Linked DNA regions of Drosophila melanogaster. The gene in region 1 interacts genetically with each later gene. Each region holds a gene or a part of one and is shown on either strand. Other genes may lie near its edges.

Region 1 (6,813 bases):
TTGCTTCATTCCATTTTATTACGTTGCCATTATCAGATCTTTGATTTAAGTCATAATTTTACAAATTGATACCATTGTTTTTGCATCGATACTTTCTCTTTTAAGCTTTCTTTTGTTTTTGCCATCAAATGGAAACTCAAATGAAAGTCAACATAATCTATAGTGCGTTTGAAAATTATATTGCCAAGTCCAGGATCTTATTATACTAATATTTAAATGGACTTCGTTAATGTTTTAAATTTCAAGAATATTTTACGAGTTAAACTTACAAAAATTCATTTATTTAAATGGGTTAATGAACAGTGAGGCCTCATTATTAACGGTCGATTGGTTTGCAAGACCATAGCTTTCCTAAACGGACTGTGCATTTACATTTCTATGGATCGAAGTGACTTAGTCACCTGGGTCCAAACCGATTTGCTCCCAATTACTAGTTATCACGGTTACTCATGTCCGAAAAAATGCGAATATAGATTGTAGTTGACCGAGAGTTTGGTGACTAACTAATGATGGGACTCCCTTCGGCACTAATTTGACTTTTTTCTGTGGATCCACCTGGGTATTGGCCAAAAATAGGAATACCAGGTAATGCTATTTCCATAGCGTTTCCCTTTTCCATTTCGTGGGTGAGTGTCAACAGCTGTTGTGGGCGTTCTAAAGACTATTTACCAAATAGGTGGCCATATATACTATACAAAAAAACTCACCTATTTGAACAGCTAAAAATGCGAATAGAAATCTGGCTATATCTGCCAGGCCGACAATTTATTGATGCCGCTCGAAATGGGATTAGGCGCGCGTGTAGGTGAACAAAATAGCCGCAAAAAAACTATATATCTATATTAAAAAAAATCGGTCTCGAAAAAAAGAGGGCGTTGCTACAAATTATAATGTATGTCAGGGTTTGCTCTTGGCACTTGTTTCGCCCGCCTCGAATGCGAAAGTTCAAAAGATTTTTGCGCACATGTCCAAGACGTTTGCTTGGGCTCTTTGTTTTAGGTTTTTGTTGGTTTTTTTTTGTGTATTATTTGCCCTGCTTGTTGTTTTGGCCAAAAATACTCAATTTTGCACGGCACCAGCGGAGGAGATGCTGTCATAGACGCGCCTTTTATGAGCATTTCGCGATGATGCCATGCGACTGTGGGTTATCTGGGGTTGTATGCTGGCCAAAAATCCATCTAAGCCTTATTAATTGCTGGCCACGGGTTGAGAACAAGGTGAAAACATTTTTAATTGCGGTTTCGGATAATCGCGGATTACACTTTTTGAACGTACTAACAATGGTAGCCATTATTTTGGGTATTTAATTGGAGGAGATAAAATGGGATAACATATTGTTGATACTTTTATACTTGACACACAAAACACAACAGAAGATGCAGATAAGAAAGTGATTCCTAGTTGTGATTGTTTCTATTTTCCTAACATCTTTAGTTGGGAAAAACAAAATTACTGCATAATTACAATATAGTTTGTAGTAATCAAATATTTGCTATTGGATAACTTGTCATTTCAGAAGAATTAGATAAGATAACAAAATACAAAACAATAATATTTGTACTTCAAATGGAAAACAATTTGGACTTTGTTAATTTGTGGATAAGGTTAAAGGAATGCAACAAGTGTAAATTATGTCCAATCCAATTGATATTTTAAATACATTGAAAGTAAGTATTGCGAATTTTATATATTTTTACTAAGTATTCAAAACATCCATATACTGTGAAATATTTTCGAAACGAATCATGTAGCTTAAATGGAAATAATTGACTTAAACAATGTGTTCGATTAGTCAGTCAATTGCTGTCCCACTTTTCAGACAGATTTTCCCATCCTCTAACCAAAGAAAATCTAGAACTCACCTCACCCACGAATTTTTGTTGTTTGATTGGCAACCGATTGTCGGTTGATTGACAAACTGTTTGAATGTGTGCGAGGAGGGGCAGTGACTTTACGATGACATGGCTAACGACTATTGTATACCCTTGAAACGTAACCTTCTTGCTTCTTAAGCTAATACTATTTAATAATAGCAATTGATTTAGAGAGCATTTTACCTTCGGCTTCAGTTTGAGGAAATTTTATTTATGTTTCTGCCAGCTGATAAGCGGCTGTCGATTGTTTTTTAGGCGCTAACATACGGACAACAATTCAATCAAGTATCCATCACAAACACACGCATTGACAGCCGTGCCCAGATAAGCAAATGGTTGGATAACAAAGGCCTACACAGATAATACCAATCGCAAACACAGGGAAGCATTCGGGTTTGTTTGTATGCGTGAATATTTGCTATAAAGTCGAAAGAAAAAAAGTTTATCGCACGCAAACAAAAACGACCTTCGGTAATGATGCCTTTGTATTTACCTAGCCATATTAATGTCGCGTCGGTTTCTTATTGCCAATTTGCCATTTTAAGGTACAAGTATATTTTCGAAAGCATACACGTTAAGATTCCGTTCTTCTCTTCCTGGGTTTTTATGTGCAACTGCTGCTGCATGATTGTAAATATTTTGGGATTTCATTTTATTTTTCCCTGGCACGCTTATTCATTTCCCGCCTGTTTACATTTTAATTGCTCGGTCAGCACTGGCGTTAAAATTTTTAAATCAAGAAGATCACAAAAGCGTTTTCCCTCGCATTCTCAACATTTGTATCTCTCTTTTTTTCGGTCAGCAAAGTACACCGCATATAGAGTGCCCTACAAAATCTGAGTACTAGTTAAATATTTATTCCAGTGAAATAGACTGATAAAAGGCCAAACAATTAATCTTAATACGCAGAAGTACCGTTCAAGATTGTGGAAAATTTCGAAAATTTTATACGGTGCTCTTAAAACATTCTGAAACAAACTGAAACAAGCGACCTAAAACTTATTTTTAAGTGTATTTATGTTTATAAGCCAAAATAAAATCCTACAAGTTTAAAACATTTTTATTGCTTAGATAATTTATTTACCAAAAAGTTATCACGAATGCAAATATACCTGTGCTGCAGTTACTGCTTCTCCGTAATTGCTTTCTGTTTTGTATAACAACAATAATATTTATTTCATAATATTTACTTTATTTTCCAAACAGTGCATTGTTATTTGGCCGGTAATGTTTACTAATTTGCGTGCTGTTGTCATTGCAAAAAATGTACCAACATGTTACATCTTTGTGCACTTTTGTTTCCGGCTTTGTGACAATTGAGTGCATAAACTTAATTACTGTCAAGATGTCACAACAGCAAGGCAATTGGATGATCGAGTGATATACTATTTGTTTTCAGAGATATAAGGAAACACTATGAAGACTCATTTCATGCTTTATGTGTTCGGGAAATAAAGTTCTTGAACATTTCATGTATACAACACTATTAATTATAGTATTCTCAATTATTCTCTTTTGATTTGTACGTTGTTTACTGCTGGCAGTTTTTTTTTTAAATTTCTTTAAAAATTACGTTTTTTTTTTACCATTCACAACTTTGGCCTCCAACTTAGTGTTTACTCCTTTTCTTGAAAAATGAGGCTAAGAAAGCCTGGGAAAATTACCTACACATCAACAAAGTGTAAACAATGATTTTTGTGAAAATAGACCAAGTTTTTTAACTCGCACACAAAAGCACGGAAATTGGCGAAAGAAACGAATTCAACTAACGGACGAAAAAGCTTAGGTCATTGACCAAAAAAAGAAATAACATTGCAAAGAGCGCTAGACTGCTCAGCTCTCTCTTACTATTTCTCTTTATAGTTCGAACACGTTTTCCAAGTAAAAATCCAACGACGCCACTTTTACCTGCGTTTGTGTGTGTGTGTGCATAGGTGAGTGAGCTCCCCACTCACCTATGCACACACACACGCGAGCGGTACAAAACCATTCTGTTATTTTCCTTGTTTACAAAAGCAACAAAACCAAATTGTTGTTATTGCTTTTGTATTGCTACCAAAGAGGCGCGCTTACGTCATTCATAATATTAAAGCGCAAAGAGAGAGTCTAGAACTACAACAACAGCAATAAGAGCACGAAAGCAATCTGGCACATGCTGTTTTTGTTGGGACTGAAATTACCTGAGGAATAATTTAACCATTTTGTGCATTTTGCGCTCTCTTCTCGACTATTTTGTTTAATCAATTCTTTACGGCAGCTCCATTGTTTTCAGACCGCACTCTCATTTGCGTGGAGCCGATTCACTTGGCACGTTTTAGAAAAAAACAAAACATCCTTTGGTTTATTACTCAGCAAGCATTTGGTTCACTGTTGTCACATTTTAAACAATTAGTTTATTGTATTTGCATTAGGAAACTGTTGGGTTCTCTTTAGATTTCTAAATTCGTCTCTGGTGTGACCAGCTGGTGGAACGGCGAAAATACTATCGAGTATTTGGTAACACTAATGCTTGTACAGAATGTTAACATTTGTGAGTGAATTTTGTAAGTTGGTTAACACCACGTAAAAACTGTGAAACTTATTTAATTAATATATATTATATATTAAAGCATGCTGTCTTTGCAGCAGTGCTGATATCTTTTATAAAAAAACAACTTAAGATGAAAAAGAGGTAAAATATATTGTAAGAGTTCACATTTTCGGTACCTGATTGTTTCCATATACACTTGGGTAAATAAGTACAAAATTCATTTGTCGAGAAAAAGTTACATTGGCACCATTGTATAACAGTTCAAAGTTAATGATGTTTGATGCTGCCAATGTAAATTCTTCAGATAACGAGCCTTGCCATCTTAATAGATTAGGAATACAAGCGTTGCCACCAAAATTTTAACGAACGTATACTCAGTTGTATTCGATGGTTGTTGTCTTGGGTGCATGTAAAAATTAGCAGAAGAGCACTTTTTTGTGTTAAAATTAACATTTCAATAACATTGTAAAATTCTGTTAGGTAACAGTATCACAAATTTAAATCTATGTTATATTTGCTCTGATCTAACTTTTGCAAATTATTCAAGATTATTTTAAAATCCTGACATCGTGGGTATATCTGCATTATTATTAATGAAATGTTGTATTAACAAAATACGGAATGTGGAAATTAGAAAATTTTTTCTTTAAGATAATAGAAAAATTAGTAAAATCTTAATGTTCCCTTTTTAAATGAAAAATGTCTTTTCGAATAGTTCTTATTTACTAAATGTATATAATTTTGATTTGGAAGTGCCACTTCCAAGTGATATCAAGAATTAAGTGCTTGTGGCTAGTCATATCTGAGAAAGTGCATGAAGACTTGTAATACTTTGCCGCCTCTGCTGATTTAAGTATATTTTTAAAAGACAATTAAATGATTTGCCTGCAAGTGTTGCAGTAATGAATGGACCCAGAAGTGTTTGCTTCTTAATTGGCAATTTCCTAATGGCGAAATGCGTTTTGCACCTACTTTAAATGCCACCTTGGCGTATTGTTTTGGCTTAATTTAAATTACCTGTTTGAGTAATGAACAGTCTCAGCCACGGGCTGCAACAATAATAACGCGACTCTCAACTCATTATGCATTGTTTATTGCCACTCAAAGTAGCATTTTCACCCTCTTTCCAGCATTTTCCGAGCACTGCAGCATTACTCTTAATGCATGTGCAACAATAGGAAACTCCACTTCCACTTTTCTTCGCCCACCAACTCTTCTTGTGCACTGATATTTGGCTTTTCGCAGAAACAGTCGGAAAAACAGCAGCCTTTTCCTTAACATTTTCTTGTAAATAAATATCTATTAATAAGAAACTTACATAAATCATTTAAAAGGTGTGTATATATAAAACTATAAATTAAGAATTCGCTATTTATAAATAATTATGAATTGAATAAGTAAATCCCTTAAAATCATTTTGCTAGCAAAAATAGCAATTCAGTTATTGAATGGCCCCATTTTCATCTAAACTGGGATTTTCCCGATAGCTTTTCCTCGCAGCAGTAGGATCAGTGCAGTCACCGGATTTATATTGGCACATCCAGGTGTTCCTGGATGGCAAGTCAAGTCTGGCACTTCATTATGCACATTAAGATACAAGTTCTTTTCGCACTGACGAGGTGGTATCTTAACTTAATTTAACCAACTAGGGGCCAGCGGGCGGTCCTCTGAGGGGGCGGGTTTTCCGTGTGTGCCGCTAATGGGCTTAATAAAAAATGCAACATTTTGATTTAATTTAATTGAAATTCACGCCACTCGAGCAACTCCATTAGGCAGAAACGTGTCCGACGTCAAGGATGCAGATGATGGCAGCGTCGAGGAAATCAAATTACCCAGCGGCAGTGGTTCTAGTGTGCGAAGAGGGAGGCGGGGGTGGTATGCCGCAGGGGGCGGGACTGTGGGCGTGGCCGTTGCCGTGGCTTGTAGCAACTCAAATAAATATTGTCAAAACACTTGTCAAATGGCTAAACAATGGAGCTGGGACGTGGTCAGAGCACGGTGCACTCTTCTTTTCCAAAAAAGGGCGATATCAATTGATACTACACTTCAAAAAATTATGTTTTAAAAAGTATTTTTATCAGAATATATTGTGCCTGTCAATATCCAAGATTAATACCACATATTACTAGGAAAAACTCGAAATCTTAAATAGAAAACTTTACAAATTGATACGAAAAATAATATTTTATTACAATATCTACAATACATTATTTAACATTGTTGCTTATATAAAAAAAATATATACATATATATTTTTTAAATAATTTTTTTTTCACCTGCTCTTTGATTCTAAGTTAAAGACTTCTTCGAGTGTAAGGCGGTCGTGGGTAAAAAAGTGAAACTGGAACTGTGCGCAAATCAATTTGATTCGATTTAAATTTAAAAGCATCTGCACACAGGCATTCATCA
Region 2 (10,144 bases), on another chromosome or scaffold:
CCGCATACCAAGGAGACTCTGTTCGTCCTATATTAATAGGTTAATCTCTCTCTCTCTCTCTCTGTCCAAAATTGTGGATTGTGCTCATGCACAGAGAAAATCCATTCTTCATTCAGTCATTTTCACGTTAAATTGACATTAAAAGATAGCTTCACTTTAAATAAGTTTAAGTAATTTAAATGTTAGTTTGGATCATTGGACTTTCTCTGTGCTTTTTAGCTGCGAGGCAATCAAAACTGGTCGGCAGATTGTCTTAAGTTGGTTTTATTGTCGGATTTCTGTTTCTGGGTATTGGTTCTTCTTTTTTTTTTGTTTGTTTTTTTTTTTGGGGTTGGCTTGGCCCCAACATGGAAAATACAATAATATACAAAGTACATTGAAATAGAATCGAGCACTAAACGTAGAATGAACAAATCGTAAAATGAAGTATAAATATACAATTGAAAGTTTTCATAAAAATAATACAAAAAAATGATCATTTCCTTTTCGTTTCATCATCGTTTTTTGATCACAGGTTTTTTTTTCTTTCTTTCTTTTGCGCGATTATTCTTGTGCTTTTTTTTTTTTTTTTTTGTAGAAATAAATCATAAATAAATAAAATGGAAAACCCGATTGCATAATAAATGTATGTAAATAAAACTGTGCTCAAAATACCAAAAAAGTCGAATATCAAATTAAAATTAATGTGCACCGCAACTTTTCGTTAAGTGTACTTAAGCCAAACGAAATGCCGCAAGCGATGGAAATTTTGGAAAATATCTCTTACAAAGATTGAGGGGGTGAAAAAAAAGGAGGAAGGACTCCAAAAAAATGTTCGAGTTCCTACAAAACTAGAACTTAGTTCAACTAAGATGTGTGTAATGTGTAATGTGTAAGGACGCACTTACGCATCGGTATAAATATAGCTTAATGTTAATCCAATTGTTACACATTTATGTATATGGTTTAGTTCAATATATTTTGCCATTGGCCCATGCACACGTTTTTTCTCTCCGTGTCTGTTTGTCTACGTACAAGCGGCGTTAGTCTATCTATCCGTTTGATCCTCAAAAGTTCGTCCTCACTTCTGTGCTACACATTGCAATTTTCTAGCCACTCCTCTGGCACAAAAAAAAAAACAAAACAAATCACTGGACTAATTAGGGATTAACTTGATTTGTGAATTTCGCACAACATATTGCATTCGTTAGGAACAATTCGGTTATTATGAAATGCCAACCGCGGACAGAGGGGTTTTTTGTTTAGTTCTATGATTTCGTTAGACGGAAAGAATTCGGATAGGTATCTGTATCTCTGGGCCCTACTAATTTCACACATTAGCTATGGCTAATCCTCGCCTGCTGTTTCATCTCTTCGCTCTTCCTTTGCGTCTGACTTAGTCTACAGTTTTAATATAAAACAATGAGCTAATTAGGCGGTTCTCATCTGGCGGCCAACTCCAACAGCAACACTGCAGCACGGCGCACAACTGGGACTTTAGCATCGCTCCAGTTGCTCGCAGGATTGCGTCTGCGGCTTTTTGCCTTTGCGCTTCAAAGAGCGACTGCTGCCCCCCATCGCCAAATCGGTTTGATAGGGATCAATGGCACAGAACTCGGGTCCACCGACCATGTTGTGCTCCGCCAGCTTGCTGTACTTCTTTCGCGAGCGCGTAAAGAGATTGAAAAGGGCACGGATTTTGCTCGATCCAGCCGAGTGATGCTGGTGCTGGGGATCATTGTGGTCATCATGTTCATGGTGCTGTCCCTCGACTGGCGCCTCAACAGACTTGGATTTGGTTATGTGCTTGGGCCGTTGCTTCTTTTGGTTCTTGGTCTGCTGGCGCTGTTCCTGGGCCCGCAGCTTAATGACATCGGGATGCGGCTGAACATCTTGCATCCGACGCGTATTCAGTATGGAGTTCTCCTGCATGTGATAGCCGTTCACGGCTTCCGTAGAAGCAATGGACGGTGAGGCGGACGCAGTGGTGGACGATGAGGACAGCGATGGCGAGGCGGAGCGGTAGGTGGCGAAGCTAATTGAGGCACTGGATGTATATAGATCCGATCTGGCAGTCGTTCGCGGCGTGGCCACAAAATCGGGCTCTTCGAAACTGACGCTCTGGAAGGTCACTGAACTCTTGCGCGACGTGGTGGAGTTCTGGCGCATCTGACTGGCGGGCACTTGACACTCATCGTCGGCATCCGCATCTGCTGTGTCCACCTCCGCCGCCACCGCGTCCTCATCCTCTGCTTCCCCTTCCTCCTCCTGCCTGGTGAAGAAGCAGTGCCGTGGAAACTGCGAGCCGGAAAAGTTACGCTGAAAGCGTCCACCCTCGAAGGCCTCCTCCGCATCATCGCAATCCCTGGCAGTCAGCGGTGTGCTGGAGTTGTACATGGTCAGGTCGCCACTGGATTTGGAGTTTACCCTTTCGCTGCTGGCCATGGACATCTTTTTGATCACATCCCGATAGAAGGCATGGTCATACGTATTGTTATCCTCCGATGGCAGAGTTAACTGGTTGGGCAGTGCAAAGCTATTGCTACCGTTCGCAGGCGGATGATGACTGCTGCTGTCCAGCGAATGCTTCTTTCTGCCCACAGCTGGACTGTTGCCCAGACTGCCGCCAAAGCGATGCAGATGCACGGCACCACTGGCCGCCGATGAATTGCCGGACTTCAGGAAGTGAAAGCAACCGGTCGGACTGGCAACGGTGTCCGTTTCCGAGCTGTCATCCGTTACCAAATAGAGTGGTGGTGGCTGATAAGCAAGCGGATGATCAAGTCCGTACTCCTGGCTCCTGGCGCGATGGTAGATCTTGGCTGGGGATTGACTGGTGGTGCTGCTGTTGGAGTTGTTCCGGCCGTTTTGGAGGACAATTATCGTGTTCGGTTGGGAGGTCAGGTTAGTTTGATTGTTATTGTTATTGCTATTAATAGTACTAATATTATTTAGCTGATTGTTGTTGTTGGCGGAGATGCTGTTGTTGTTGTTGTTGTTGTTGTTGGTGGTTGTGGTGGTGGTAGTTGTGATGGTGGTGGTGATGGCTTTACAATTGCCAATGTTGTTGTTGTTGGGGCGCGTTAGTATAATGGGTATACCTGGGTACAACAATGGTGTGGCCGGCGTCCCACCAGCGCCTCCACTTCCACCCAAAATTCCCAAACCCGGCGGCGGTGTCAGCGAGGCCACCTGTTGCTGGTTCTGCTGCTGCTGCTTCTTGTCCAGATTCGGAGCACTCTTGCTGAATGAGGAGTGAGTTGAGGTCTGGGCGGGCCATTCCGGCTGACCGCCGCTCAGTTGCGAAGGCAATAGGGATCGCTCCCGCTGGTGCATCGTCGACGGGCCCCACGTCTTGCCCTTGTGCCCATCGGTCACTGATTCACCCCAATGTCATCAAAATAATACGGAACATAAGAACATAACGAAGAAACCAAAGGCAAATCAATAAAATATACAAAAATTAATTCAAAAATAATGATAACAAAAATATGCAAATAATCTAGTTCAATTTGTCCAACGATACGAGGTGGTATCTTACATTCCCATGGCCATGACGTCTAGTCTCCTGTTCTAATTTTGGGTCTACTTAATGCCTAATCTTATCTCAAAGACCTGCATAATGCACTGAATTCTCATCAGAGACATACGTACATAGAGTTAAGTCTAACAAATATACCATAAAACCATGATTGAAAAGTATAATTCATCATAGGACTGTACTATATATAATACCCTCAAATTAATCAGATCTCTGGGATAGACAAAGTACTCACGTGCCACGATGCGCAATCCGGAGAAGGAAGGTGATCCCGGCTGTTCCGCCTTGTCGCGTACAGCCGTAATCGTGTGCCGGAAGCCCGTGGGCAGCGATATCTGCAGTGGTTTGTTCTAAAAGATAGATATAAGATATGTTATGCAAGATTTTTTTTTGGCTAATTTGACTCACATACCTTTTTGCCCTTTTTGTGTTTGCGTTTCGATGGCACCGGCTGCAACATGACAAGCTCCCGTTCGATCAACACTCTTTCACGCTCGCGCAGATTCTGCTCCCGGATCTTCAGGAGATTCGCCTTTTCGCGCTGCTCGTTTTGCACCCTGAGCAGCTGCTCTTCCTTGTTGCGCAGTTCCTGTCGGGATTAAAAGGGATAACATGGTGGAACGTGGCGGGTTAGTGTGGGCTAAGCATGATCACTGTACACGGGGACATGTGCTAGAAAATAGCATTAACTAGGAACTAGAAACCATGCAGCTGTTGGCTTGTGTGCGGCTCTATCGTGGGAGTTATCCAGCCAATAATAAAAAAAAAACAGGATAACTTTGGGTAAAATAGAATAGAGTAAAGTAATGTAGAATAGAGTAAAGTAATGTAACGAAACGAAACGAAACAACAGAACGAAACGCAACGCAACGCAATTGAAACGCAAACGGCGGGCAAGAGAAACCTGTTGGACGCGCTTACCTCTTCGATGGTTTGGAAACGCTTAACGTCGTTGGATGTTTTATTGTAAAACAAGGGAATTTTGTATTGTTTTGTTTTGGAGAGAGAGTATATACCAAATTATTAGAATTTCATCAACAACGACCAAGTGGGAGAAAGAGGGGAACGACTATGGAAGAACTGAAGGGCGCGGCGTAAGGCCAACAAGGAACGGTCTAGAAACGATCTAGAGCAACTCAAACAGGTAGGGGGAGTTTATATTTTCAGTTTGCCTGGCGTTTTCCAGACAGTTGGTACCTTTTCTTTTTCGCGCAAATCGTGTAGCACTCCAGCGATCTCCTTTCGCCAGCATTCCTGCATGTAGTGAAACGACTCCTGGGGCGTTAGGGTGAATTTGGAGCATGCGATGCTCTCCAGCTGTTTGAGAATCTCCTTGAAGCCCGGTCGCTTGTGCGGATCCGTTTGCCAGCAGCCTGCGGGATTTGGACATAATGAAATATTACAATAATATGTATAGGATCATTGTCTATTGCGTTCACTTACTCTTCATCAGGGCTCCCCACGTCTCGGGGCAGGTTTTTGGTATGGGCAATGTCAGCGTGTTAACAGCCACGCCATAGGCCACGGACAACGGATCGAAGCCCTTGTAGGGCGTCTCGCCCGTTATCAGTTCCCACAGCAAGACACCGTAGCTCCAAACATCGGAGAATCTGGCGGGTAAGGAGTTTTGTTAGTTAGGAAGACAGACGACAGAGTGTGAGAGAAATGGAGCTCACTTGGAATAGGTGCTAACGCTGATGACCTCCGGTGGCATCCAAGCGTACGTGCCCGCCGCACTCATCCTCTGCGTGTTGTACATCTCCCTGGCCAAACCGAAATCCGTGATCTTGAGCGTCTTCTGCTGCAGATGATTGCCCTCGATGGCCTCGTAGATCAGCACATTGGAGGACTTGAGGTCGCGATGTATGATCGACATGGGCGCCTCATTGTGCAGATAGTTCATGCCTCTGGCTATCTGAATGGCCCAGTTGACTAGTACATCGGGTGGTATCTTGCCAGCCAGTATGCGATTGAGACTTCCTCCCCTGGCATACTCCATCACCAGACAGAGTTTGGTATTCAGACATACTCCTCGCAGGGCTGCTATATTTTCGTGCTTGAGGGCCCAAAACAGTTTGGCCTCCTGCAGGACATTGTCCCGCATCCTCTGCATATCATCCTCGCCCGTTTGATGGGCAATCTTAATAGCCACCTCCTCGCCATCGTAGTAGCCACGATGGACCTTGCAGAAGCCACCGGAGCCGATAACTTCCTTGATGTCCAGCTCATTGTATTCGATCTCATGCGGCTGGATGTCGCCAATGGCGGACGAGACATTCAGTTGCAGTGGGTCCTCATCGGTGACAAAGTCCTTGGGAAAGACACCGACCTGCAGGAGAAAGATTGGGGTTTAGTTCAATGGTTCATTGTTAGAAAGGTAATCAATCACCTTATCTCCAATCTTGCCGGTCCACCAGCCCACATCGCCAGACACCTCGCTGTCCGTGGACAGGACCACAACGATTTCGCCGCGTCGCAGTGTCAGCTCATCCTCGCCCTGGGCATCGTAGTCATACAGCGCGGTCCACAGGCTGCCATCGCCCACCTGGGTCTCGACTTGCTCTAGATCTGGTATGGGAATCTCTGGTATCTGCGGATGATGCAGTTGCTCTAACTGCTGCTGCTGCTGCTGCTGTTGCAGCTGCTGCTCCTCGCTGATCGGCAGCATGTTGGTGGTGTCCAATCCTCGGGAGACCTGCGAGGGCATCAGAGGCGCACAGTTGGCGACATGGAAACCATGAATCTCTTCTTTGTTTTTGTTTTCTGCTTCTTTTCCTTTTTTGTTGTTTTCTCTTTGCTTCCTTCGCTTTTTAACTTGCTTTTGTTTCGCTGTGTGTGAAAGAGAGATAAAACCGCAAAAGGGGCGAAGAAGAAGCAGCAGCTTAGTAATATTTGTTGCCAAAGGGGGTGGGGTGGGGTCAGCTTACGGGTAAGGATGTTGCGGCTAATCCTGCTCTCCTGCCCACCGGATTCGGATTCTCCACTCTCCTTGTGTCCCACTGTCCGTCCGTCTGTCCGTCCGTTGACCACACGCACAAGAGCAAAAACAATAGCAACAGCGAGAACAACAATCACAACAACAACGGCACACAATCAGACAACACGGTACAAAACACACACACACGCACACGCGCTGCTGCACACCATGGTCGCTCTCTCGCAGTCGCAGTCGCCGTTAACGTCGTCGGTTATTTTGATCTATCCTTGATCCTGTGCAATCGGTTATATCCGTTTTATTAGCCCGTTTCTGCATATGTTTTTTAAACACATATGTATTAAAAAAAAAAAACTAGAGTTGCACTGTTCAAATGTGAACTAGTTTAATTGAACTGGTCTTTGGACCCAGCCGAGTGAACTGGTTACATTTGCGGTTCACCTGGGATTTTGGTTCCAGTTCGTTGGCATAATTTTAACTAAAATTGTGATCAAGGTAGTTGTTTAAATACCTTTATATTGGTAATTGTTAATATTTGTGGTAGAACAAGGTTTTGTCGATCATTTTGTTGTGGCTCACATAAACCAGTTGCTGCATTTATACTAGTTCCATTCGCAAATGTACTAAAAAATGCCATCAAAACGGTGTTGGGCAACGCAAAATATTTGGTATTTCAAAATACCTTATTCAGTATTTTCAATATTGGTATTTATCATGTCGATTATTTTATTGACCGTTAATATTCAAATTTGAAATGTGCTTGAAATGTAAAAATTTTAGTATTTAAATCCTATTAACATACATGCAAAACTCAAAAGCATTGTTGATGTGTAAATTTAAATTAACTGAATTTAAAGTACCGTAAACCAGAACGATTGCATTAATTGAACTTCTTCAGTTTTTAACAACTTAACAACTTAATATTTAATCGAATAAATAATTGAACTTAGTCGTTATCAATGCAAACTGAAAATTATGCTACCATCAATGGGGCTATTGTAACACTTGCATTCATTTAAAACTATTAAAGATTGAATATATCGAATGTCATGCACTTCGATTAAATCACATAATGTGAAATAATTATTTAAAATCACGTTTCAAATGGAATGTCGCTGTCATATGTTTTCCGTTTTGATATTCGGCTATTTCGTGATGCGCATGATTTTTGCAGAGAAGTCGGGGAAATCCATGGAAAAGGGGGGCTTACAGCTGCTGCTGCTGCTGCTGCTGCTTTGGCCGCTTTGGCTGTTTGGCCTGTTTTGCCGATGCGGATATGGCCTGATGATGTTGCTGTTGCATCGCGGAACGGAACGCTGTGTATACTGTGTATCCTCACTACCAACACCACCAACCCCCCACCCACGCCACTGACTCTCTCGTCGGGCGCCCAACACGCGCCCTTGTGTGGGTGGTGGGTGGTGTGTATTGGGTCGGTGGTGGGTGTTAGTGGCTTGTGGATGCTGGGTGGCCTAGTCCATGCCATGTGTTTAGTAAGTCCCCTCCCTCTGCTACGCTCCCTTGAAAAGTTCGGCGGCGCTCGTGTCCTTTCGGCTGCGACGCTGCGCCGTTCATCCTTTTGGTCCAGCGTCGGCATCGCACAGTGGAATGGAATGCTAATCAATCGCTCAAAAACCATAAAAATATGACATTTTAAAGAGTTAAGCCGATAATTTAAAACAATAATTAACTAATTGGTTGTAATTTAGTGTATTTTATGCATCTCAACATCTTTATACACATGTTTATGATATTTCAAGGTTTTATTGCTAAAAAATGTACAAGCAGCGAGTGCTAGAAACATAGCGTAGATAATTTTCTTCACATTTATGTTGCACAAATATTGTAATATTATTAACCAATTTTGAACATCTAATTATGGTCCGATTGGGCCCACTGTGCTTCGGCAACAGAGCGACTCGTGCCGAGCCGATGGAAACCGAAACGAAACCGGGCTGCTGGCTGATGTGGCGCTACATCCGCAACTCCCGTAGTCGTAGTGACAGCCTTTGCCGGATCCGGAGCCAGGAGCAGAGCGGCGCAGGACACTACGGCCCAGGACCAGGACCTGTACCGCTGGGCAAACGCCACTCGCTTCGCCCGGAGAGGAGAGCAGTCTCGGCAGTGGTCGGCGAGGCTGTGTGCCAGCATCACCAGCAGCAGCAGCGGCAGCGGCAGCGGCAGCAGCAGAAGTGGCAGCAGCAACGGCGGCAGCACCAGGCTGTGCCACTCAGTTACGCGCAACATTTCAACGCAACGTCGTGGCAATTCCAAATCGGCGGCAGACGCGGGCGTGCGCAGCGCACGGGCGGATTGCACGTAATAAATCCTCCGGAACGGGCTAAAAATACGGCAAACGCAACTAATCACACACAATAGAAACCGAAAAGAGAGCTAACTCTTCGCTAAGAAAATCGTAAATTTTGCGTAGCGTCTTGCATGCGCCATCTTGCACGAAATCCCACGAATAATGTAGCAGAAACCGGAAACCGGACTGAAAATATACATAAATAATAAACTTTACGCACCAACTAATTTGAACACAAAATATAACCAAAAAATACAAAAAATTGCTCATATTTTTTTTCCGCCGCGTGCGCGTTTTTCAGTGTGTGTGTGTGTGTGTGCGTATGCGTGCGTGTGTGTGCGTGCGTATGTGTGGGTGTGATTTCGCGCGCGTGTGTGTGTCGCTATTTTCTTGTTGTTTTTTTTTTGGGTAACTTTTTTTTGCCGTTCTTTAATCCCTGGCTGAAATGAAATACAACAAAATAATGATCGAAATGCGAGAAGCCAAGGCGAAAATGTAAAACGGGCAATGATGCAAACGCACATGAGTAAAAAAGAGTAAATAAAAAATTAAAAGAAAAAATATATATATACATATATTTATAGAAATTATCAAGTTAATTTTAAGGAAAACGAAACGCACAACAAAAAAGCCAAAATAGATCCAGTAATAAAACTAATTTAAAATAATCACCTAAGTCAACAAACTGCAGTTTCAGCAGCGCAAAACCGAGGTAAACTATTGGTTAATTAAAACGATTAAACATATGCTATTAACTTTAGGGCAGGGAAAACATTGTTAAGCATTAAGGAACAAATAACTGATAGAAGCAAAACCAAAACAGAAAAATAGAAGATATCAGCGAAAATCGTTCGCTTGCAGGCTGTTATCACTATGAAAATGTAAAACTGTTAGTCTAAAATTAGTTTGGCTCAAATCTCGCTGACTGACAGCTTACTTAATCTATTATTTAATTTCTTTACCGTCTCTCAATAGTTTCCTTGACACTATTTTCGCTTTTGCCAAAAGAAAAATCGGGGGAAAATCGGATGGCTGCCTTCACTCACACAAACCCACACAGACACACATTTTTACACAAAGGCAAACACATACATACACGCACACATATAGACATAAATCCATGTAAAGCTGTTGCCTCTGCCGCTGGTAGCCGCGACGCCGACTGCGACGCCGGCAGCGTGGTAAGCAGCGCGCAAGAAGTTGAGGTTATGTCTGCGCCGCAAAATGTGCTTGTGCTTGGGATCCAAAAAAACGCTGCGAAAGTGGCGAAAAACCGGGTGGATGGCCATCGGGTGGTTGGTGGCAAGTGGGCGTCGTTTGGTAATGGTAATGGGGTGCTACGAGCCATGCCCTTGGCATGGAAACGCTGTCGCCCCTTTTT

The links. Genes that interact genetically often act in the same process or in processes that back each other up.
Region 2: of raw (region 1) and slpr, changing one suppresses a phenotype caused by changing the other (phenotypic suppression), as found in Drosophila melanogaster (one study listed by BioGRID).

What each region holds. Positions count from the first base shown.
Region 1 is NT_033779.5:8,736,331-8,743,143, forward strand, and holds the start of raw (raw), read right to left. Parts: upstream 4,331-6,813; 5' UTR 4,084-4,330; coding exon of another isoform or gene 4,055-4,083; intron 1-4,054.
Region 2 is NC_004354.4:8,170,106-8,180,249, forward strand, and holds slpr (slipper), read right to left. Parts: upstream 7,081-10,144; 5' UTR 6,448-7,080; intron 6,350-6,447; 5' UTR 6,189-6,349; coding exon 5,910-6,188; intron 5,850-5,909; coding exon 5,197-5,849; intron 5,131-5,196; coding exon 4,964-5,130; intron 4,894-4,963; coding exon 4,718-4,893; intron 4,463-4,717; coding exon 4,442-4,462; intron 4,110-4,441; coding exon 3,933-4,109; intron 3,871-3,932; coding exon 3,756-3,870; intron 3,357-3,755; coding exon 1,477-3,356; 3' UTR 574-1,476; downstream 1-573. UniProt on the Drosophila melanogaster protein: Activates the JUN N-terminal pathway during dorsal closure.